2 linked regions of the Arabidopsis thaliana genome follow. The protein of the gene in region 2 interacts with the protein of the main gene of each other region in a pairwise test. Each region holds a gene or a part of one and is shown on either strand. Other genes may lie near its edges.

The links.
Region 1: the proteins of SNL3 (region 2) and HD1 interact in a two-hybrid assay, tested with the Arabidopsis thaliana proteins (one study listed by BioGRID).

The regions. Positions count from the first base shown.
Region 1 is NC_003075.7:17,892,697-17,902,954, forward strand, and holds HD1 (histone deacetylase 1), read right to left. Parts: upstream 6,814-10,258; 5' UTR 6,608-6,813; intron 6,367-6,607; 5' UTR 6,362-6,366; coding exon 5,834-6,361; intron 5,750-5,833; coding exon 5,309-5,749; intron 5,179-5,308; coding exon 4,948-5,178; intron 4,693-4,947; coding exon 4,622-4,692; intron 4,534-4,621; coding exon 4,476-4,533; intron 4,048-4,475; coding exon 3,976-4,047; coding exon of another isoform or gene 3,967-3,975; exon of another isoform or gene 3,902-3,966; coding exon 3,797-3,901; 3' UTR 3,582-3,796; downstream 1-3,581. Other genes in the region: AT4G38120 (ARM repeat superfamily protein), read right to left, coding at 491-593, 887-974, 1,073-1,226, 1,404-1,455, 1,537-1,616, 1,710-2,075, 2,194-2,263, 2,369-2,436 and 3 more; AT4G38140 (RING/U-box superfamily protein), read right to left, coding at 7,172-7,609; AT4G38150 (Pentatricopeptide repeat (PPR) superfamily protein), read right to left, coding at 8,515-9,423; pde191 (Mitochondrial transcription termination factor family protein), read left to right, coding at 9,716-10,258. UniProt on the Arabidopsis thaliana protein: Responsible for the deacetylation of lysine residues on the N-terminal part of the core histones (H2A, H2B, H3 and H4).
Region 2 is NC_003070.9:8,563,013-8,575,508, reverse strand, and holds SNL3 (SIN3-like 3), read left to right. Parts: upstream 1-4,972; 5' UTR 4,973-5,130; intron 5,131-5,560; 5' UTR 5,561-5,581; coding exon 5,582-5,721; intron 5,722-5,807; coding exon 5,808-5,994; intron 5,995-6,080; coding exon 6,081-6,179; intron 6,180-6,255; coding exon 6,256-6,390; intron 6,391-6,479; coding exon 6,480-6,774; intron 6,775-6,871; coding exon 6,872-7,002; intron 7,003-7,080; coding exon 7,081-7,156; intron 7,157-7,244; coding exon 7,245-7,274; coding exon of another isoform or gene 7,275-7,299; intron 7,300-7,444; coding exon 7,445-7,659; intron 7,660-7,752; coding exon 7,753-7,907; intron 7,908-8,044; coding exon 8,045-8,172; intron 8,173-8,284; coding exon 8,285-8,539; intron 8,540-8,615; coding exon 8,616-9,260; intron 9,261-9,354; coding exon 9,355-9,440; intron 9,441-9,681; coding exon 9,682-10,293; intron 10,294-10,395; coding exon 10,396-10,496; intron 10,497-10,584; coding exon 10,585-10,723; intron 10,724-10,814; coding exon 10,815-10,967; and 11 more. Other genes in the region: AT1G24210 (Paired amphipathic helix (PAH2) superfamily protein), read left to right, coding at 982-1,121, 1,211-1,334, 1,435-1,536, 1,638-1,739; AT1G24200 (Paired amphipathic helix (PAH2) superfamily protein), read left to right, coding at 3,132-3,271, 3,369-3,546, 3,632-3,730, 3,810-3,878, 4,232-4,336; IAR4 (thiamine diphosphate-binding fold (THDP-binding) superfamily protein), read left to right, coding at 12,127-12,496. UniProt on the Arabidopsis thaliana protein: Acts as a transcriptional repressor. Interacts with ERF7 to repress genes in abscisic acid and drought stress responses. The heterodimer represses transcription by tethering SNL3 to DNA.

The sequences.
Region 1 (10,258 bases), on a different chromosome or scaffold from region 2:
GTATTGGGTCCAGAGCTGAGAATCCTCTATTAGAAATAGTCTCAATACTGTCTTTGGTTTAATCAATGAAGAAAGATCTTTACTTGGTTCTTACCATACCTCTTCTTTTCCTCCGTGAATGAAAACTTAAGATTGTTTGGATTAGGAATTCAGCGAAAAGAAAGGCACTAGAAGTCTAGAACATATTTTATAGATTGGATAAGGACTGCAAAACATAAACAGAGACAAAAAATCTCCCAAACACGACTCTAGGCCCTTGTCTAATGCCTGTACCGTCCAGAGAAATCCCAAAAAAATTCTCCTCCTATTGCATCCCTCAGTCGACAAATTTCTATATGCGACTAAAATTAGTTTAAATCCTATGACTTTAGCTAATGGAAACTAGGATAGTCCAAGAATGAAAACCTAGATATGAAATGTAAAATCATATATCCATCATAAACGAAGACAGCTAACAGACAAAACAACATAAGGAAAAGGAAGCACTAACCAGCAGACCAGTTTTATCATTTTTGAAAGGAAAGCCCTCATTAATCCTAGCATGCAGAGACATTATAACTTTTGGCAGCAATTCTCCCGGCATTCTCGAGTAACTGAAAATGATAACAAACGTTAAAGAACACATGAAAATCTCATACAAAATCCAAAAGTAGTTGCAAATTTTAATAAGAAGATAACATTAGCTAAACGGAGCTGGGTCTACGCATGTATTCATGAAGCTTTCCTAATTCACTTACTCAAATGTAAATCTTAATCAAGAGCCATTATGGGTTTATAATAACGGATATCAAATACCTTTAAAAAGATACAATACTTTTACAATAAAACGAATATCATTTTAATCATGAGGAGCTAATAAAATAAAACACAGAAGAAATGTACGTACGGTGTGCTTGATATTAGAAGCAAGAGGATCTTGAACAGCTGAATCAACAATCTACCATGATTATCACTGTGAATCAAATGTAGAATGCCTACACCCATACGAAAGGCATAAAAATCTTGGTTAACAAGGAATAACTAATAGCCAGACAAGAAGAAAAAGGTTAAGACAATTAATGTCGTTGAAAACCTGTGTGGAGTTGCATTAATATTAGACCAAGGGAATTGGAGAGGGGCATAAATGATCCATATTTAGTAGATTCCTTGTACTCTGCCACTTGAAGGAAAATAGATGAAGGCCCATCCATCATGGTGGCAAGAGCTGACGCAGATGCAATCCTTACCTAGACATTGCAAGGTAAACAAAAAAGTATTGTCAGGATTCAGCAGTCATGAAGTTGAGCCACAAAAACATCTCTAGACATACTTGCTTAACCATAAAAGTTATTGGGAAGGTGAAAAATGAAGAACAGCATCGAAATATGTGCCTCAATTACTTGAAAAGGGACAAGAATAACCACCTTCAAATGAGGATCAAAAAGCAAGCAGGTCATTAGAGTAGCTTCAAACTTCCTGTTAATGATCTCGGAAAGTTAAGGAGACAAGAAAATACTACGGTATGGTGACAAAAGATGTTGTAGGTTAATTTTCCACCTTGGCTTGAGTACATCACTTGTTGGAAAGAGAGTCACCCACTGAGTGGTAAATGACTTTGAATCAGCCTGGCAAAGATCCTTAACAGGAAAAAAAGAAAATGAATAAGTAATTGTCACTGAAAAGTTAAGTAGAAGATGAGAACCAACTAAGAATAATACATTGTTACTCACCTGTATGCAAACAATTGCAGCTATTCTAACCTTGGAGCTTTGGGCAAAATAAGAATCCGGTACGGAGCCGTCACTGTCACTAAAATCGGAATCTGATGATATAACATCAGAACTACCAGAATCATGAGCAGATAGGCGCCGCCAGCTTGAAGACACTGGCTGCCTAGTGTTCAAATCATCCCTCTTGCGCAAGTGGGGTGGCCTATAAGGAGTATTCTTGGCATTCTTACTTACTCCAGAAATCAATGGAGAAAGCTTGACATTCAAATGCTTATCGTTGTGAACAACATCAGAAACTGATAACTGAGGTGGGCCAGTAAGTCCAAAACAGAAAAACATTCTCAATGACGCTATGAAACTTAAGACCTGCAACATTTAAAAAATCTGCTTAAACAAAGGAAAAAAGTCTGATATGGAGGTTAAACCAGAAAATCACTTATCCAAGGCTAAGAGGAGGAGCAAAGGGTATCAAGAACCCACTTACGTGATCAGAAACAGGACATTTGATATTTGTAAGGACCTCGTGCACACAGCCTAGAAGGCATGAATAAAAGCTGTAGAAAATTAAGAAATGAATATTACCTAAGAGGGCAACAAGTCTAATAGAACCCAGAAAAAAAGGAGTAAATTGTAGTCTCCACAAAACCAAAGGCATATACCTCCACATGAATCGGTCTTCGACAAGCTGGCCCTTAGATGCTAATACGTCCATTACTTTCCTTAGAACCTATATGAGAATTCACCAAGTTGAGAAACAAAGCATATGAGAGAAATGAGAGGATCGATCAGTGAAGGGGAAGATTACCTCTAGCGTGCATTGGGAGACGTCAGTAGGAAACAAAGACTCAGATAGAGAAAATGCTCTACCAAACATGTCAAAGGCAAGAGCCATGGAATCCCATAAGCGATTCTGTTGAGGCAGTTTCTTTTCCACAAGTAAAGTAGGAGAAGGGTCTTGATTTGAGAAACCATAGGATAAAACTAAATCCTGGTGTAATAAAGGAACTACGCGCACAAGAAACTTGACTAGATGAATGTTCTCCGGATGCATAGGGGCCAAACGTCTGGGAAAAGGAAGAGGAGATTACGAATAAGGTTTAAACAATGTCAGCAAGATTGTGAGAAGATATATAATAACCTTAAAGTCTCGAAGCATTGGATCACAGGTTCGATTCTGGAGAAATAGGCAGCGGAATAAGGTGAAGAAGGCATGGGTTGGCGAAGAAGAAACTCCAAGACAGAAGCAAAAGAGTGAAGAAGGAGCGGCCATGACGAAGAATTTAGTTGGAAAAGTAGACGAGCACAAACATCGTGAATCTGGATTAATAAAAAGGAGGAGAGATCCCATTAATAACAAGGAAATGATGGGAGGAGAGAAGGAGAAGACGCACCAGTTGACAAGTATGACGAGAGACAGGGATCCAGTCAGGACCATCAGCTTTGGAAACCAAATCGAGCAGGAACAAGCAATCGGAAGTGAGCTCGTGCAGTGGGAGGTGAGAGACGGCAGAGATAAGGGAATGGGATTGAGAGAAGAGTAGATCCTCGAGCAACAGAGGAACCGGCGGCGGTGGAGTGGTTGAGATTTCGTCCCTGAGAGAGAGAAACGCCGTCCGCCACCTTCCCACGCTTGACGAAGCTGCCGCCGTGAACATGTTTCAGTCTCCCGGGAAAAAACTAAGCAATCAAAAACGAGAACGACGAGAGACAGACAGAGAGACGCTTAATAGTCTTAAAGGGATTTACATTTTTTTAATTTAGAGTTAGAAATCAATTGTGTTACAGGAAAACATCTTCTCCACCCACTTCACTAGTTGATGATGTTCATTGCTGCGTTTAGCACATCAATTCTTTATTTTTTTGGGGTGGGCAGACGCAGATCTCTTCGGCCCAATCAATAAATATATAGCAAAAGGAATAGCTCGTCTTGTCATATCATATCATCATTCAGACATGCAACGAATAAATACATATCCGTGCTCAATCCTCTAAAACAGAGGAGTGCTTACAACAACAACAACTCCAGAAACTTAACTAGCAACATTTGATAGACAGAAAAAGTAGCAAGAAATTAGAAGCTCCGAGTCTTATGTTTTAGGAGGAAACGCCTGCTCCGCCCCACCCTTGTTTGTTCCTTCCTCTTCCATTTTCACACTTGCTTCCTCCACTCCCACTGGGTTTACTCCTGTAACCTGCAATCAAAACTAACCACTTTAGAAAACCACCATTCCCACCCTTTTCAGCCCTGTCCACTGCTTCATTTTACCTTAGTGCTTCCACTCTCATCCACCTCCACCTCACAACCTTTTCCACGCTCCATAATTCCTTTCAGTCCATCCTGCACGAACAACATGCCATGATAAATAAATTAATCTCGGAAGAAAAGGAGACGGCTTTAGGAATTGAGAGGCAGAGATGATTCAGCTCAGCTTGGCTAGACGGTCACACTATCTAATCAGGTCAATTGTTGGAGCTGGGAGCATACTAAATAAATAGCCTAGGCTAAATGATTTAACCGTAGCTAAAGATTCGCTACCCTCATGTGAATGTATCTCCAGCTTAAACTAACTGACTTAATGTCAGAATGAGACTCATTCTGGAATCTTTAGGTTTTGGGTCTCGGGATGAGAAAAAGTGTAATGTTATCAGAGCACATTGTGCTGTTCTGGAAAATGCTGTAAACCTAGATGAACTAATGACTTCAAATGTTTGTACCAGAAAAAGTGTCTGAGAAATCGAAACAATTAAGAGATAATGCTGTAGTACCTTGTCCTTTGTATCTGGTTCAACAGCTTCTCTTTTTACTCTGCTTGGTATAGGTTTACTGCACAATGCGATCCCACATTAAGTAAACATTACACCGCTGACTCGAACCAAAAATAAAAAGGGGAGGAAACATATATATTTCATACCGGTCATCATCAACATCCATGTCTGAATCCGGATCCCATCTTTTATCCCCATCTTCTTGGTCTTCATCAACCTATAATTTACATAGAAGGCATATTTTACAAAACTAAGATTGGTAACAACCAGAGTCATCAATCAAGGAATACTTATACATATCTAACTGGACGAACATTATTTACCAGCCCAGCTGTTTAAATTAGAAAATTCTTATTGTAACTGCAGTTACACTTAGATAAGCTCACCAAAACCCATGAGGAAATGCAAGAAAGAATGGGCAACAGAAATAAAGGAGCCAACACACTTCAAATGATTTGCTCAAGTGGCATACCTCGGGAGTCTCTGTATCAGGTGGTCTTTCCTGAAATGGTACACTTGGAGCATGCTGAAGCTTAGAGAGATTGTGGAGAAGGTCATTGCGAATCTCTTCAAGCATCTGACGAGAATTCTTATTTTCCATGTTACTTGGAGCAACGTGAAGTGTATAGTCTGGACCAAAGTATTCATAATATTCATGCTCCGGCATCTTGTCTTCAACTTCAACTCCAAGTGCAACTCCAGTCTGTCATATAAACAGTTTGTTGTAATAAATTCAAAGAAAGAGAGGCGTCACAGAGGGCTAACCTTGGTACAGAGACCAAGGAAATTTCAATGCAAAGCTAGAGCAGCATAAAATGAACAGAAGAAAGTACCTCGTAGCACCAGCAACGGGCAACATTGCGGATAGTGTAACCACCACCACCCAAGAGCAGTAGGGGAACATTGAACGATCTCATAAATTTGACGCACTCAGCATGACCTTTGATTGAAAGATTAAAGCACCCCAACCTATCACCAGACAATGAATCAGCACCACATTGCAATACCACAGCCCCTGGTCGGAAAATTTCCATAACTTTCCCCATGATGGGCTTGAATAACAGATGATAGCTCTCATCATCGATTCCATCATCCAGTGGTACATTGAGAGAATAGTACTTTCCGCTACCATAACCTATATCCTGAATGTGACCTGTACCGGGAAAGTAATCACCAAATTTATGAAACGAGACAGTCATAACCCTGTCAGTAGCATAAAATGCCTCCTCCACTCCATCCCCGTGGTGGATATCAATATCGACATAAAGAACACGCTGCAAACGAGAGAGGAAGAGTTAGAGATTCAGAAACGACATAACCATCCCTAGCATATATCAAAACGGTGCAGGTGGACAAACCTCATGCTGCTTAAGGAGCTCTAGGATAGCTAAGACGATATCATTGACGTAACAGAAGCCAGAGGCCTCGCACTTCTTAGCGTGATGGAGACCACCAGCCCAGTTGATGGCAATATCGCAGAGGCCGTGGTTAAGCTTGACAGAGCCACCAACAGATCCTCCAGCATAGGTCTGGCAAAAGGAATAAAGGCCGTCAAAGACGGGACAGTCTTCACCAACATTGAAGCGCTTAAGTTGGCGAATCTGATCTTGCTGGGTTTCAGGGGTAATGCTGCGGAGAAAAGAGACATAGTCGTCGGCGTGGAAGCGGCAGAGATCACGGTCGCGGGCAGGGAAGGGCTTGAGAACCTGCATATGCTGAAGGAGACCGTAGTGAGCGAGGAGGGCATGGGTCATGCGGATGCGATGGGGCTTCATGGGATGACCTTGGCCATAGTAGTAATTGCCGACCTCAGGGTCATAGAAATAACAAACTTTCCTCTTCACACCATCAGGTCCGGACGCCAGCGAATTGCCGCCAGTATCCATTACCTCTGCACGCACGCCGATCCATAAAAATTATATTATTAAAAAATGATAACTAAACCCTAGCCGCGGAGTAGCTGAGCCATGGACGCGTTTGAATGACAACAACAACATTTTTTTAAGTTACGAAAAAATCAAATCTAGTGTGCAGAAGAGACAGGAAGGCGAGTGAAAGATATTAAAAGACGGCGAGGCTAGACAGACGCCGGAAAATGGAATCACGCAGACAAGGAAGAGAGTCTGACTGACCTTTTTCGTAGGATCAACGGTGTGTTGTAATCACAGTCGCAGTCAAATGGTCGGAGGAGAAGCTGCGATGATCTCTCTCTCTCTCTCTGGCTTTCTTCTTCCTTCCTCCTCGCCGAGGGGAAGGGAGCTGCTCTCTGCTTTGCTTTCAGATTTTCTTTCACCTCTGACTGAAACTGTAGCCTACTTACTCTTCTCTTCCAACTTTTTCTACTTTCAGTTTATAATGGAAAGGCCCACTTTTAATCTGTTATGGTTTAAAATGAGGCCCACTTTTAATGTGTTTTAAAAATAAGGCCTATTAAGTTGCCTTTAGCCCGTTTACTTAATGGTCTTACGCAGAGTAACAAATCAATTAGGAAACAGAGCACTAGAGCAGCAGTAGGCACTAGGCAAGGCTGGTAAAACTAAACTCGTGCTGCTTTTGTCTCTGTTTAGTACAGTATATCATAAAACTGAGTAATCCACAAAATCTTGATTGAAAAGGAGATGGAGACAATATGTGCTTGGAAACTAAGACAAAATACATGTTAAATAAAGAATGGGTGTGTTAACAAGGAAGCTAGGCTACAAGTATCCAAGTAGATGGAGAAAGATACAGAAAAAGAAGAAGATAGAGAGATACAAGGTGGAAGAGGAGTGTGCATTATTGACATTTTGTGTAGGAGGAGTTGGAGCCAATACAAATGATCTGCAGAGAGGGCAAGTGAGGTGGCCACGGAGAAGCCAAGGTTCTATGCAATTGATATGGAAGAGATGAGCGCATCTGGGAAGATGGGTCACCGCATCCTCAGCCTCAAACTCCACCAGGCATATGGGGCAGCAAATTTCCTCCTCCTTTTCCTTGTCCCCAAACATCACTCCCACTAGGTTGTAACCGTCATCATCATGCGCATCCGCATCTCCACCATTCTTCTTCAACCTCCCCAAGGGAATGCACACACATGTGTAGAATACTATGGCTGCTGTGCACAAAGGCGACCGCGGAAACAACATTGAAATCATCTTTCTCCAGCTTTCTGCTTCTTTACCTCATTCCTTCCCTCTCTTTTATAGACTAATATCATCGAGTAGGGACGGCGCCGACCCCACCTCCCATCTCTTATTATATTCTTTTGTTGTTTTTCTTTAATCAAGTCAGCGATTCTCCCAACTCCAAGAAAACTCTTGGAGAGGTTATGGTCAACATACGAGATGCACATGCTTCCATCTTAAGCACTACCTGATACTTGCATTTAACAATAGTAAACAATACAAGAATCACATGACGCCAAAAGTAAACAAACAAAAGATGGCATTCATATCCAGTGTATTATTTATATATATATTAAAAGTAAGGAGTCATTCTTCCATCAAGACAGGCCTTGACTTCCGAGTTCACGAATATAATACAGCCGACCAAATCAAGTAAAGATCTCCGAGTGAATCATAAAAACTATTTTAATGTTGACTCCACGCATTTTGTATTCAATATAGCGCCAGCTTCTACAGAACAGACCTCCACGTCCCTGAGATCAGCAGTGCCTTTGGAGGATGATGTAGTTTTATGCCTGGTGTATGTAACCAATGATACTATTGTTCATATTTGTTCATGAAGTCGGCCACATTTGCAATAGACAGTCACATACATCATTGGTAATGACTGATAAGCGTCAAGCATAATTTGACACCCTATACCGCCAACACAACGCTATTCATTGAACTTGCAATCAATATTAGAATGCATGAAAACAGGGAACTACATCTACAACTACACATTTTTAAAGGACATAGGAAAAAAAAAAAAACTCGATACCTGACTCCAAGCAGAAAAAGGAAGACTCATATTGATTTTCACTTTCAAGGTTGTTATTACAAGTCAAGAAAACATCTTACTGAGACGGCATACTTAACAGCACTGCGTAAGTAAATCAGAAGGGTTTCTCGGTTGGTTTCTTCTTGAAGATGGCTTCCCAAGCCAAAGACGGAAATGGAGCCCTTTTATCCATGAACTCCTTGACAGCCTTAACATTAACGGCAAATCCTTTTTGGTTTAAGGTATCAATAGCGGACTGGGCTTGTTCAACCCCCTTTACTCTGCACAAGGCATCAACCAATTCAACGAAAGTGGGGACGTTAGGAGAGTGACCAGACTCAAGCATCTCACTACAGAAAGCAACAGCATCGTCAAGCATGTTGCAATTATACAATCCCTGAACCAACACACCGTAGCTGAAGGCATTAGGGGCAATCCCATTGTTCTGCATTTTCCTGAAAATCCTCTTAGCGTCTTCAATTTTATGAGCCTTGCAAAAGGCCTCAACGACAGCAGTGTAGATAACGACCTCAGGGATTGTACCCTTGTCACGCATCAATCCGAAAAGCTTCATGGCCTCTTGTACAAGCCCATCTTTGCAGAGGCCGTCAAGCATGGCGACGGCGTTAGGGATGAGACCTCCTTCCTTCATCTTCTTGAAGATCTCATCGGAATCCTCAGGCGGCGGTAAGGGCTCCTGCGGGTATTGTTCCGGTTTGGGGGTTTCCCGTGAATCCTGATTGACTCCAAGCTTGAACTGTTCGAGGAAGCCATCGTCAGACAGAGTAGTATCACTCTTTCCAAGGTTGTGGGCTTGTCTAGCGGGTGGTTCTCTGTGAGAGTTGGAAGATCTCTCCCCTCGCAAGGGTCTGTTGGGTAAGGGCTCTGGAGGGTTCTGCTGCTCGTCTACTTGACCATTGTCGCCCGTTGAGAGAAAGCGTGTTGCGGACATCGACGGCGTCGTAACACGAATCTGCTTCGCCATCTGCCTTGCAAAAACGACGGCTTTGGAGGAAGGCACCATCGTTATCTGCCGCTGATTCGAAAAGTTAGGGTTTTGCAGATTTTGACGGAGAGAGAAGAAGGGGAGGGTTTAGTCACGCGAGAAGGATTGAGGGATATAACAGTCATTTACTCTACAGGGGGTATAAGAAAGAAAGAAGGTCCTCACTCCTCCGTGTGGATAAGCTTCTCACTTTCAGTTCAATTGGATAGCCGGAAAGGCTCTCCTCCAAGGTAAATTCCTCTCTACTTCCTTGTTAAAGCTCGAATCATCTCTAAGTTAAGCAAAATTGGTGTGTTGTAGTGGCGTTTATATGGAGGTGACAAATACGAGCAGCATCATGTGGTTCTTCAGGGACAAAGGTTTCGATGATCCGAGTATCGACAAGATGTTGAGAAAATGCAAACAGTTGGAAAAGGCTCAAAGCGATGTGGCATCAGAAAACTGGGACTACCTGAGTAACATTGTTGGTATCCAAGAGAGAAAACTCCCTTACATCGTCTCTCGATGCCCCAAAATCCTGACTTTACGCCTCGATGAGAGACTCATCCCGATGGTCGAGTGCCTCTCCAGTCTTGGAAGGAATCCTCGGGAAGTTGCTTCCGCCATTACCAAATTTCCTCCAATACTCTCTCATAGCGTGGAGGAGAAACTCTGTCCCCTTCTTGCTTTCTTTCAAGCGTTAGGTGTGCCTGAGACTCAACTTGGCAAAATGATACTTTTTAACCCAAGGCTTATCAGCTACAGCATCGACACCAAGCTGACAGTGATCGTCAGCTTTCTTGCTAGCCTTGGCCTTGATCAAGATGGGATGATTGGCAAAGTTCTGGTGAAGAACCCATTTCTTATGGGGTAC
Region 2 (12,496 bases):
GAGTTGTTGAATGTGATGTTGTATTAGAAAATACTGTAGTTCCTAAACATTAACCATATCAAATTAATTTAACACATATATGTATGTAATGTTATGTCAAAGTCAAACTAAGAAATATATGTTTTGGGGAAATTATCTCTTTAGTCTAAACATTAATCTCTATTTTCGATTAGATCATCCCTATACTAAAATTAGCATTTCACATTTTTTACTTTTTTTACTTTTCTCAATTAAAAAGTTTTAATTAATTAATTAAAAAAAAGAAGAAGATTTGCCTTTTTCCTTTTTTAAACCGTACTTTTGATGTAATCCTTAATTATATAATCCAACGTTAAGTGTCGGAAACTAAACCCTAGAGAAATCTCTTCTTCTAGTTCTAGTCTCCTGCTTCTTCGAGATCGTGTGTCGTAACTCGTAAGCTAGGGAAGCCCTTTTTGTCTTCGAATTTCGGTAACTATACGATGATCTTCTTCTCTTATTGTCATTGAATGATTTTGTAGTTTCTGGGATGATTTCGAATTGGGTTCTTCGAATTTAATTTCGTACCTGTGTGATCAATTTTACCTGAATTTCATCAAATCCGATTTAAACCCTCAAATTAGCGAATTAACTTCTTATTGTTTTTGTTAAGACTGAGATTTTAAGACTTCTAAGTGTTTGGTTGGTTTGCTCTGTGTTGATATTGGCCACTTTACACAAGTTCTCACGTTGGTTCTGATGGGAATGAATTAGTTGTTGTTGATTTTGGTTTTGACAATTATTTGGATTTTGAGAAATTTAGCTTATTGCAGCTTTATGTCTTGTTCAATTTCAGTGTTGAGGCAAATCATAGATTTAAGTAATGTTATTAAGATTTCTGCACTCTAGGTTCTGTTTCTTCAAGTGGTAATAATAGCTTCTAGGTTAAATTCAATGATGTGATCTGTTTTACTGAACAAAAATCTTCTCTTTCTTTTGATAACAAAAGGCTAGATTCAAACCATGGTTGGAAGACGAGTATCACCTGCTCTAACTAAGGATGATGCGCATTCATACATCATTGCTGTGAAGGAAACATTTCATGATGAACCTACGAAATATCAAGAGTTTATCAAGCTCTTGAATGGTGTTTGTGATCATAGGTATGTATTCTTTTCTTCCCTGTTATATTTGGTTTGGTCTTTACTTTCAACTGTGAATTGATTCTGATGTTACTAGTCTCTTTTTGCAGAGTCGATAAATATAGTGTCATTGCAAGGGTGGAGGAACTGATGAAAGATCATCAGGATCTTCTTCTTGGTTTCAGTGTCTTCCTTCCACCTGTTTCTGTAGAGGATTTTATAAACAAGCTCAAGGTAAACACATGCTAAAATGACAAATAATCCTTGGAGAGAAACACCAAAATCCTTTTTTGATTCCTCTTTTACTAACTAGAGCAAATTTGTCCATCTGCAGACACGGTTTCAGAGCCTTGATACTCATGTAGTGGGGGCAATTCGCGGGTTAATGAAGATGTTTAAAGAGGGAAAGATGTCGGTAAAGGAGGTGCAAGAGGAGGTAATGTTTGTTCTTGGTGGGCTATTTTGTGTACTTGTGTTTTTTTTTTTTTTTTTTGGTTCTCTTTGTTTGATTTGGTTAGAAATAATATTATCTTGCAGGTCATTGATGTTCTCTTCTATCATGAAGATTTGATTGAAGACTTTCTCAGATTTTTCACAAAGAACCCTGTATCAACAGCATCACTACTACTACAATTATAACGAGTGATGTATTTTTTATGAATGAGAATGGAGTGTATAGTTTCTTTTGTAGAGGTTTTAAATCTTTGCTTTTCACCATGAAGAGGATGAGATTTGAATTTGATATACTCAGATGATTGAAACTCAAAGTGTCACAAAACTCAAAAATACTTCTCATAACCTTATTTTGTTTATGTTGAATTTTACTGATGAAAAACCTATGAAAGATCAAACATTTTTTTAAAACTCATTTCTTAGTTTTGTTATGTACTTAATTAATGGTTGTTAAAAAAAGGGTTTTGTGTAAAAAAACACTTCGAACTCATCCATTTTTACAATTTTATCCTTCACCTCCAACATATTGAGATTAATCCTATGAAGTCTAAAATAATACGCATTGTAACCCTTCTTTGTTTTTTTCTTTACTATTAATTTTGTAAAATATTGACATGTAATATATTAAATCTAAACCCTCACGATGAAGAGTTCAACTCTGCCTTCAAAATTTTAAAATTCTAATGTATATCATCGTAAAAACGTTTACAATATACGTATAAATGTCATATTGCGTATTATTTTAAACTTTATAAGATTAATCTGCATATATTGGAGGTGGAGGGTAAAGTTACAAAAATGGATGATTTAACCCTTTTAAAAAAAGTACATAATTAATTAAAATACACCAAATAATAAAAAAAAATCATTAAAATAAATAGAAAATCTTACATAACCTTGGAATCATAATACATAAACAAAACCCTACCGAGACTAGAAACTCGTCTCCCCTGCTTCGTGCTCGTGATCGTGAAGCCTTCTTCATTCGTCTTTGGTACCTATACACATGTGTTCTTCTTCTTTTTTGTGTGATCTTCGTTACGTCCACTACAAGTTTTATTTTCTTTGTTCATTGCCTTTGTAGTTGCTAGATCTGTTGCTTGTTGTAATTTGTATTCGTGGGATGATATCGAGTTCCTTGAATATATTTTTCGTAATATGTGATAAGATATCAAATCCGACTGATGAAGTTTAATCAACTTGAAGTCTCAAAACTAGATATGAGTTTTGTTTTGTCCCCAATAAAAAGTGTTAATCTAATCCCGTCAGACTTAATACTATGGCAATCTCTGAATTGGGGTATCTTTGGTTAAGAATGAGAGTAGGACATATCTAAATCCAATACTTGACTGGTTTGCCCTGTGTTTGAATTGACTACTTCACATGTGTAGGTTACGTGTGATAACTAATAATGGATCACCTTGAGGAATGAATTGTTTTGTTGTTAAGACTTTGGGGTTGTTCAAGGATCCAATATTTTTTGAAGAAACCTTGCACCATCTTTTGATTCTAATAATGTTTCACCTTTTTTTTTGGCTGCCTCTCTTTGAACAATAAAGCTTTCCTAAACTTCAAACCATGGTTGGAGAAGGAGGCGCACACAAGCCTACTACAAATGACGCGCTTAAATACCTTAGAGCCGTGAAGGCTAAATTTCAAGGTCAACGTGAAAAATATGACGAGTTTCTTCAGATCATGATAGATTATAAAACTCAGAGGTTAAAGTTCTTTCTACTTTTATGTTTGCATTTGGTCTTGGTTTAGGTAAAACTCCATGGTTTCTGAGAACTGATTACCGACTATTGTGTTGTATAGAATTGATATATCTGGTGTTATAATAAGGATGAAAGAACTCTTGAAAGAACAACAAGGATTACTTTTGGGTTTCAATGCCTTCTTACCAAATGGTTATATGATCACACATCATGAACAACCTTCACAGAAGAAACCTGTCGAGTTAGGGGAAGCAATTAGTTTTATTAACAAGATTAAGGTATATATGTTTATGTGTTATAAACTGTCCAAGGAAATTACTGCTTTTCCCTTTCCTACTCTCTTAGTTATTCATTCATTTGCAGACAAGGTTTCAGGGCGATGATCGTGTATACAAATCAGTTTTAGACATTTTAAACATGTACAGAAAGGATAGGAAGCCCATCACCGCGGTCTACCGGGAGGTAGGCTCATTGATTCATACTAAGTTTTTTTTTTTTTATTGCTAATATTTTACTTAGTTTCACACGTTTATCTTATCAGGTTGCCATCCTATTTCTAGATCATAACAATTTGCTTGTGGAGTTTACTCACTTTCTGCCTGCTACTCCAGCTACTCCAGCAACAGCCTTGTTGCATTCACAGTTTTGCATAGATCATCCTGATTTGCTTGAAGAGTTGGATTGCTTTCTGCCAACTATTTCTCAGAGTTTTTTGTGACGAAAGGATTGCTATGTTACTTCAATCGCTTCACATATAAGTAGTTTTTTTTTTTTAAAGTTACAAGTCAGAGATAATAGTAGAGGTTTTTTCTTTTTAATATGCATGATTAATAGCTTTCTTTTCCCTATAAATTATAGCCACTATCAAAATTCAAAATTACCATCATCTATAGTTATTCAATGCTTTTTTTTTTACCTAGTTATTTCAATGCTTACCTATGAGTTTACTATGTGTAACATGAGGATAAGGGTTATCGGAATTATTCTACGAACAAGGTGACAAAGTTTTCGGTCTACCGGAAAGATAGTAATGCCGATAAAAAAAAAATGAATTTAAAAGGCGAATAATATGTTCCGTTTTTATGGTTTTAATCAAGTTAGAGTTAAATTATTCTTCTATTAATGTTAGCCAAATATTATTTTTTAGATTTAAGCAAAATCTAACCGTGTAATGTAATATAGATTCCATTTACATCAATGATTTTAGAACATTTTTTCCCCATTAATAATTTTGATAGGTTTTGCATTAAGTAATTAACTTAGAAATTTTAAGAAAAAACATCTATGTTGACCAAAATAAAGAGAAAAAAAACATCTATTAATAATATGATTAATCATCTAAAACTTTTTAATTACAAAATTATTTCCAAAAAAAATGAATAATTTATTTTATATCAAAAATTTTCAAAATTAAGTATGTCTCTCTCACATACCAAAGGAGATAAAAACTTCCAAAAGAAAAAAAATGTTAAAAATAATAAAAGAAGAAGATAAATTATAAGTCTCCTAAAATGATACAACCAACAAAAGGAAGTAATAAAAACAAGAAAATACAACTTTGATTTTTATTTTATTTTTTGTCAACAGAAAAATGAAATAAGTAAGTAAACGAAAAATTTAGCGAACGAGAAAGTGTATTAAATATGTAGATTTTAATTTACTTAAGAAGACGTAAAACTCCTTTGAGAGAAATCTCAATCCTTTCTTCATAAAAACATAAAACTCTCGTTTGCTCAGTGAGTCTTTTCTTTCTGTCTGAAAATTGTTGAATAGTTTTTGTCTTCTCAGCTGTTTCGTCGGAGGAAGCTTCTTCTTCTAGACTTCTTCTTCTTCTTCTTCTTCGTCTTCTCTGAATTTCTTCGGTAAACTCTCTAACACATAAACGATGATGATCTTCTTTCGTTTTTTATCCTTTCTGTTTGATTTTTGGGTATTACAATTTTAATCGTGAACTGAATGTGAAATAATCTGAGGATTAAGTTAAGATCGATTTTTTCTGGTCCGTCTCCTTTTGTTTTTTCTTCATAAATTGTTTCTGTAGCTGCTAGATCTACAGGTGTTGCTTATTGGGATGAAATTCAAGTTCGGTTCTTTGAATTTTCCTTGTTTATGTGATTGATTTTGAGTTTTACTAGGTTTTGATTTGTAGATGAACATGAAGAAAGTTGTTTTCAGCTTTTGTTCTTTTGCTGAATCCCAAATTTTACTTGAATTCTCTAAAGAAACGTTCTTTGGTCTTATGAGATGTTGAATAGCTTTCTAAATGATCTGTTTTTTTTAATGGTAATGAAGCTCTGTTCAACTTCAAACACCATGGTTGGAGGAGGAAGTGCTCAGAAGCTAACTACAAACGACGCTCTTGCATATCTTAAAGCCGTGAAGGACAAATTTCAGGATCAACGTGGAAAATATGACGAGTTTCTCGAGGTTATGAAGAATTTTAAATCTCAAAGGTATAGTTTTTTTCTTCTCCTTGTTATGTTTAGGTTAAAAACTTGGTATCTGAGAACTGATTGCTTAATTGTGTTTTTCATTGTAGAGTTGATACAGCTGGTGTGATAACTAGGGTAAAAGAACTTTTCAAAGGACACCAAGAGTTGATTTTGGGGTTTAATACTTTCTTGCCTAAGGGTTTTGAGATCACACTTCAACCTGAGGATGGACAACCTCCACTGAAGAAACGTGTTGAGTTTGAGGAAGCTATTAGCTTTGTTAACAAGATTAAGGTATATATATGTTTATGTGCTAAACTGTCTCAAGGAAATTACTGCTTTTCCCTTTCTTACTCTCTTCGATATTCATTGATTTGCAGACAAGGTTTCAGGGAGATGATCGTGTATACAAATCATTTTTAGACATTTTAAACATGTACAGAAGGGATAGCAAGTCCATCACTGAGGTCTACCAGGAGGTAGGCTCATTGATGCTGTTATGTGTATCTTTTTTTTGTTGCTATTCTGTACTTAGGTTTTACATGTCTATCTCAGGTTGCGATCCTATTTCGGGATCATTCAGATCTGCTCGTGGAGTTTACTCACTTTCTACCTGATACTTCAGCAACGGCCTCTATTCCATCTGTTAAAACTTCAGTTCGTGAGAGAGGGGTTTCTCTGGCTGATAAGGTTCTTCTCAGACTTTTATTTTCCTAGAAATACAATGTTCTATATGTCTAATCTTTTATTGAACATCATTTGATTGGAAATTGTTGCAGAAGGACCGGATCATTACTCCACATCCTGACCATGACTATGGTACTGAACATATTGACCAGGACCGGGAGAGACCTATTAAGAAAGAAAATAAAGAACACATGAGAGGTACTAACAAAGAAAATGAGCATAGGGATGCCAGAGATTTCGAACCACATAGCAAAAAAGAGCAATTTCTCAACAAGAAGCAGAAACTACATATTAGAGGCGATGATCCTGCTGAAATTTCCAATCAAAGTAAACTTTCTGGAGCGGTTCCTAGTTCATCTACTTATGATGAAAAAGGTGCCATGAAAAGTGAGTTCTCGTTTTATGACAACTAATTTGAAAGATAAGGAGTGAGTTTGTCGTTCGCTATTCCATGTGTACTTATATTTGTTTGATGTGATGTCAGGTTACAGTCAAGATCTAGCTATTGTCGATAGAGTAAAGGAAAAGCTTAACGCCTCAGAGTACCAGGAGTTTTTACGTTGTCTTAATCTCTTTTCAAAAGAGATAATCAGCCGACCAGAACTGCAATCTTTGGTATGAATAAATAAAATGCTTAAATTTTCACTGTGGCATTTGTTTGCAATGATTCATGAACATTTGTGCTTGTATCAGGTAGGGAATTTAATCGGAGTATATCCTGACCTCATGGATTCCTTTATAGAGTTTTTGGTGCAATGTGAAAAGAATGGTAACGAGGCAAATCTATGTTTCTCTCTTCCTACATTCATTGATTTCAGAAAAAAGACAGATTTGTAACCTTTTGAATCTTCTTGCAGAAGGACTGCTCTCTGGTATTCTGACTAAGAGTAAGTCTACTTATCTTTTGCAAGGGTACATGAATCTGATGCTGAGATATATTTGAAGTATTCACGAGTAGTGAAACTACACAACTCCACTATGAAATTTGATCTTCTTTCCAGATATATCCATTTCTAGTTCTGAAAAGAAAACAAATCCATTCTAAACTATACTGCAGAATCCTTGTGGAGTGAAGGCAAATATCCTCAACCGTCACTGGACAATGATAGAGACCAGGAACATAAGAGAGATGACGGGCTTAGAGATAGAGATCATGAAAAGGAAAGGCTTGAAAAAGCAGCTGCAAATCTGAAATGGGCAAAGCCAATCAGTGAACTAGATCTCTCGAACTGTGAACAATGCACTCCTAGTTATCGGTTACTTCCAAAGAATGTATGTGGCTGCAGCCTTTTATATGTGGATCTACTATTCTTGAGTTCATCTTTTGTTTCATTAGTCTAATGTAAGACATTATACTTTTTGCAGTACCCAATTTCTATTGCAAGCCAGAAGACAGAGATCGGTAAACTGGTTCTTAATGATCACTGGGTCTCCGTCACATCAGGAAGTGAAGATTATTCATTTAGCCACATGCGTAAGAACCAGTATGAAGAGAGCCTCTTCAAATGTGAGGATGACAGGTTGGTTAATCAACTTCTAATGGTGGACTGGAAACCTATATTCCATACTTTAAAAAAAAAAATTGGTTACTGACCTGTTATTGTGAGCCATTTTCTGTGTCAAATTGTGAGCCATTATTCCTCTCTTTATGCTATAGGTTTGAGCTGGACATGCTATTAGAGTCTGTAAATTCAACGACAAAGCATGTGGAAGAATTATTGACAAAAATTAACAGTAATGAACTGAAAACCAACAGTCCCATCCGTGTCGAGGATCACCTCACAGGTAACATAAGCTGGTGTAAAACAATAAGCAGCATGGATGTTAAATCACTAGCAGCTGAGCTCTTTAAATTTTTTTTTTTTTTTAATGGATTGCTTTGTTACTGTCTTTGTAGCTCTAAACTTAAGATGCATAGAACGGTTGTATGGTGATCACGGGCTCGATGTGATGGATGTGCTGAAGAAGAACGTGTCTCTTGCTTTACCTGTTATCCTAACACGTTTGAAACAGAAGCAAGAAGAGTGGGCAAGGTGTCGTTCTGATTTTGACAAAGTCTGGGCTGAGATATATGCTAAGAATTACTACAAGTCGCTTGATCATCGAAGTTTCTACTTCAAACAGCAGGATTCAAAGAAGCTGAGCATGAAAGGTTTGTCCGTAACCTATTACACACATTATTCTATTATATCAAGCAAGTGACTTTATGTACTATATTTTTTCTGTAGCATTGTTGGCAGAGATAAAAGAGATTACTGAAAAGAAGCGAGAGGATGATTCACTTCTTGCATTTGCAGCCGGAAATAGACTATCCATTTCCCCAGATTTGGAGTTTGATTATCCGGATCATGACCTTCATGAAGATCTTTACCAGCTGATCAAATATTCGTGTGCAGAAATGTGCTCTACCGAACAGTTAGATAAGGTAATGAAGATTTGGACAACTTTCGTGGAACAAATATTTGGTGTTCCTTCTCGCCCTCAAGGTGCTGAAGACCAAGAAGACGTTGTCAAGTCCATGAACCAGAATGTAAAGAGCGGTAGTTCAAGTGCTGGCGAGAGTGAGGGAAGTCCTCACAATTACGCTAGTGTTGCCGACTCTAGACGCTCAAAGTCATCTCGAAAAGCTAATGAACATAGTCAGTTGGGGCAAACTAGTAATTCGGAGAGGGATGGCGCCGCTGGTAGGACATCAGATGCCTTATGTGAGACTGCTCAGCATGAGAAAATGCTGAAGAATGTAGTTACGTCTGATGAAAAGCCTGAAAGCAAGCAAGCTGTTTCTATTGAGCGTGCACACGATTCAACTGCTCTCGCTGTGGATGGATTATTAGATCAAAGTAATGGAGGAAGCAGTATAGTACACATGACCGGTAACACCTCAAAATCTTGCTTAGAAGTTAGTTCTCTTGGAATTTTTCATTTTCTTTGTACAGTTAATGAATAGTTTCCTCTTTACTTGGTCAGGACATTGCAATAATAATCTGAAGCCTGTGACCTGTGGAACAGAGTTGGAGTTGAAAATGAATGATGGTAATGGGCCAAAATTAGAGGTATAGTTTCAGTGAAGCACGTTTTAGTCCCATCATCTTATATTTTGATCTGATACTTTCTATATAGATGACTCATTTCAAATGAAGGACCGAATTTTGTTGATATGGAACAATATCTCCCATTGTTTGCACTTGGTGCTTAGGTCCTTCATATGGAACTTAGATAGTTTTAAAATTTGAAGTTACACACCCTTAGTTCTGTGTTAACCAAGAGGTGGTACTGATAAACTTTGTCTCACAGGTTGGTAACAAGAAGTTATTGACAAATGGGATCGCGGTAGAAATAACAAGTGACCAAGAGATGGCAGGAACATCCAAAGTTGAAAGAGAAGAAGGTGAACTTTCTCCAAATGGAGACTTTGAGGAAGATAATTTTGCAGTTTATGCAAAAACTGATTTTGAGACCTTCAGCAAAGCGAATGATAGTACTGGAAATAACATTAGCGGAGATAGAAGTAGAGAAGGGGAACCATCTTGTCTGGAGACAAGGGCTGAGAATGACGCTGAAGGTGACGAAAACGCCGCAAGATCATCAGAGGACAGCAGAAATGAATATGAGAACGGTGATGTTTCTGGAACGGAATCTGGTGGTGGTGAAGATCCGGAGGATGATTTGGATAACAATAACAAAGGAGAAAGCGAAGGTGAGGCTGAATGTATGGCTGATGCACATGATGCTGAAGAAAATGGGTCTGCCTTACCCGTTTCAGCACGATTCTTGCTGCATGTAAAGCCCTTAGTAAAGTATGTTCCTTCAGCTATAGCTTTGCATGACAAGGACAAAGACTCTCTGAAGAACTCCCAAGTTTTCTATGGAAATGATTCGTTTTACGTGCTTTTCAGGCTGCACCGGGTAAGAGCTAAAGATCATATACAGTTTGAAAAAATTATAAACAGTATAATCTAAAGTACAAAGAGTTTTCACTAGCTAACTTTACGCTATTACTCTTGACAGATATTGTATGAGAGAATACTATCAGCAAAAGTTAACTCATCATCCCCGGAAGGAAAGTGGAGGACCTCAAATACCAAAAATCCTACTGATTCCTATGCTAGGTGAAATTTGCTTTTTATTGCAGAGATTGTGTGTGTTTCTGGGATTCATATGTGCTCCATACTTATAACTTTAATTAATGTGGAACAGATTCATGACTGCACTCTACAACTTACTTGATGGTACATCTGATAATGCCAAGTTTGAAGATGACTGCCGAGCGATAATCGGGACTCAGTCTTATATTCTCTTCACATTGGACAAACTGATCCATAAATTCATCAAGCATGTGAGTATTTTTGCTCTTTGATGTTTTCTCTATGTATTCACCTCTCTATCTTTACTTGCTTTTTACTAACATACGTGTGGTCATTCTTCAGCTACAAGTAGTAGTAGCTGATGAGATGGACAACAAGCTTCTTCAGCTTTATTTTTATGAGAAATCCAGAAGGCCTGAAACGATTTTTGATGCTGTGTATTACGATAATACCCGTGTCCTCCTCCCTGATGAGAATATTTACCGTATTGAATGTGTAAGTTTTTGCTGCATCTTACATTAGCTACTTATATTCTGTCGATGCACTGCTGATCATGCTTTTGGACTCCAAAACCTCATGTGTATGCAGAGATTATCAACCCCAGCGAAACTCTCTATTCAGCTTATGTGCAACGGTCTTGATAAGCCCGATGTGACATCTGTATCCATTGACCCGACCTTTGCAGCTTATCTCCACAATGACTTCCTCTCCATACAACCAAATGCAAGGGAGGATCGCAGAATCTATTTAAATAGGTAAATGTAAAACATGAACAAATGACTGTCCCTTGATCTCTGAAACCTAGTGGGTCACTCATCAAAGCCAATGCCATTTTTCGTTTTCTCCAGGAACAAGCGCAAAGTTTGTCGTGAAGATGAACAGTTATACAGCACAGATGAAGTTAAGATCAAAAATGGTTTGGAGTGTAAGATAGCTTGCGGTTCTTCAAAGGTAACACTTTTATCTTCTTCCCTATATCACGCTTACCGCTTATGAGTATATCCATGAGAGACCAGCACTTGAAAGCACGTTCTTGAAAATCTCTTGCAGGTCTCCTATGTACTAGAAACAGAAGATTTGTTGGTGCGAGTTAAAAAGAGAAGAAAAACTTTGTGCCACAATCAGGATTCTTGGGTAAGGCAAATGAGGTTACAATATTACAAAAATAACTTCTTGTGACCAGCCTGTAACAATCTGGAAGAAGGATACCAAATCAACTCAACTTGTTCATTCACTCTCCAACTTAACAGAGACAAAACAAAAACAAAAGTGGCAATTCTCCATTGTTGACTTCACCGGATAGAGCCAAACTGCATTCTCTATCTTCATAAGAAGAAGAAGCAACAAAGGATTTGGCTTTTTGTTGTCTGTGACTGAAAAAGAAAACAATCACTCACAAAAATGATGTTACATATGTAAAGTTTGTCTTTATTCACTCTCTTGTTGTAAAGTTTTGTATGTTGTTGTAACATTTATCAAAAATTTCATTTTGTTATGGTATGTTATATAGAAATGAGTCAAATGACCATAAAAGGTTTGACCTTTTCCATAAACGACGCTTCGCCCTCTCCTAACTCTTTCCCTCACTTTAAAAAGATTCGATTTTTGACTGCAAAAAAGAGAATTTCTAAAAGCAAATCGGAGAGCTTCGGCGATGGCGTTATCACGACTTTCTTCACGATCCAACACTTTCCTAAAGCCGGCGATTACCGCCTTGCCCTCCTCCATCCGCCGTCATGTTTCCACAGACTCATCACCGATCACAATCGAAACCGCCGTCCCTTTCACATCGCATCTATGTGAATCACCGTCACGCTCCGTCGAGACTTCATCGGAGGAGATCTTAGCCTTTTTCCGTGACATGGCTCGGATGAGGAGGATGGAGATCGCAGCAGATTCTCTTTACAAGGCGAAGCTGATCCGTGGGTTCTGTCATTTGTACGATGGTCAAGAGGCTTTAGCGGTGGGAATGGAAGCGGCGATTACCAAAAAAGATGCGATTATCACATCGTATCGTGATCACT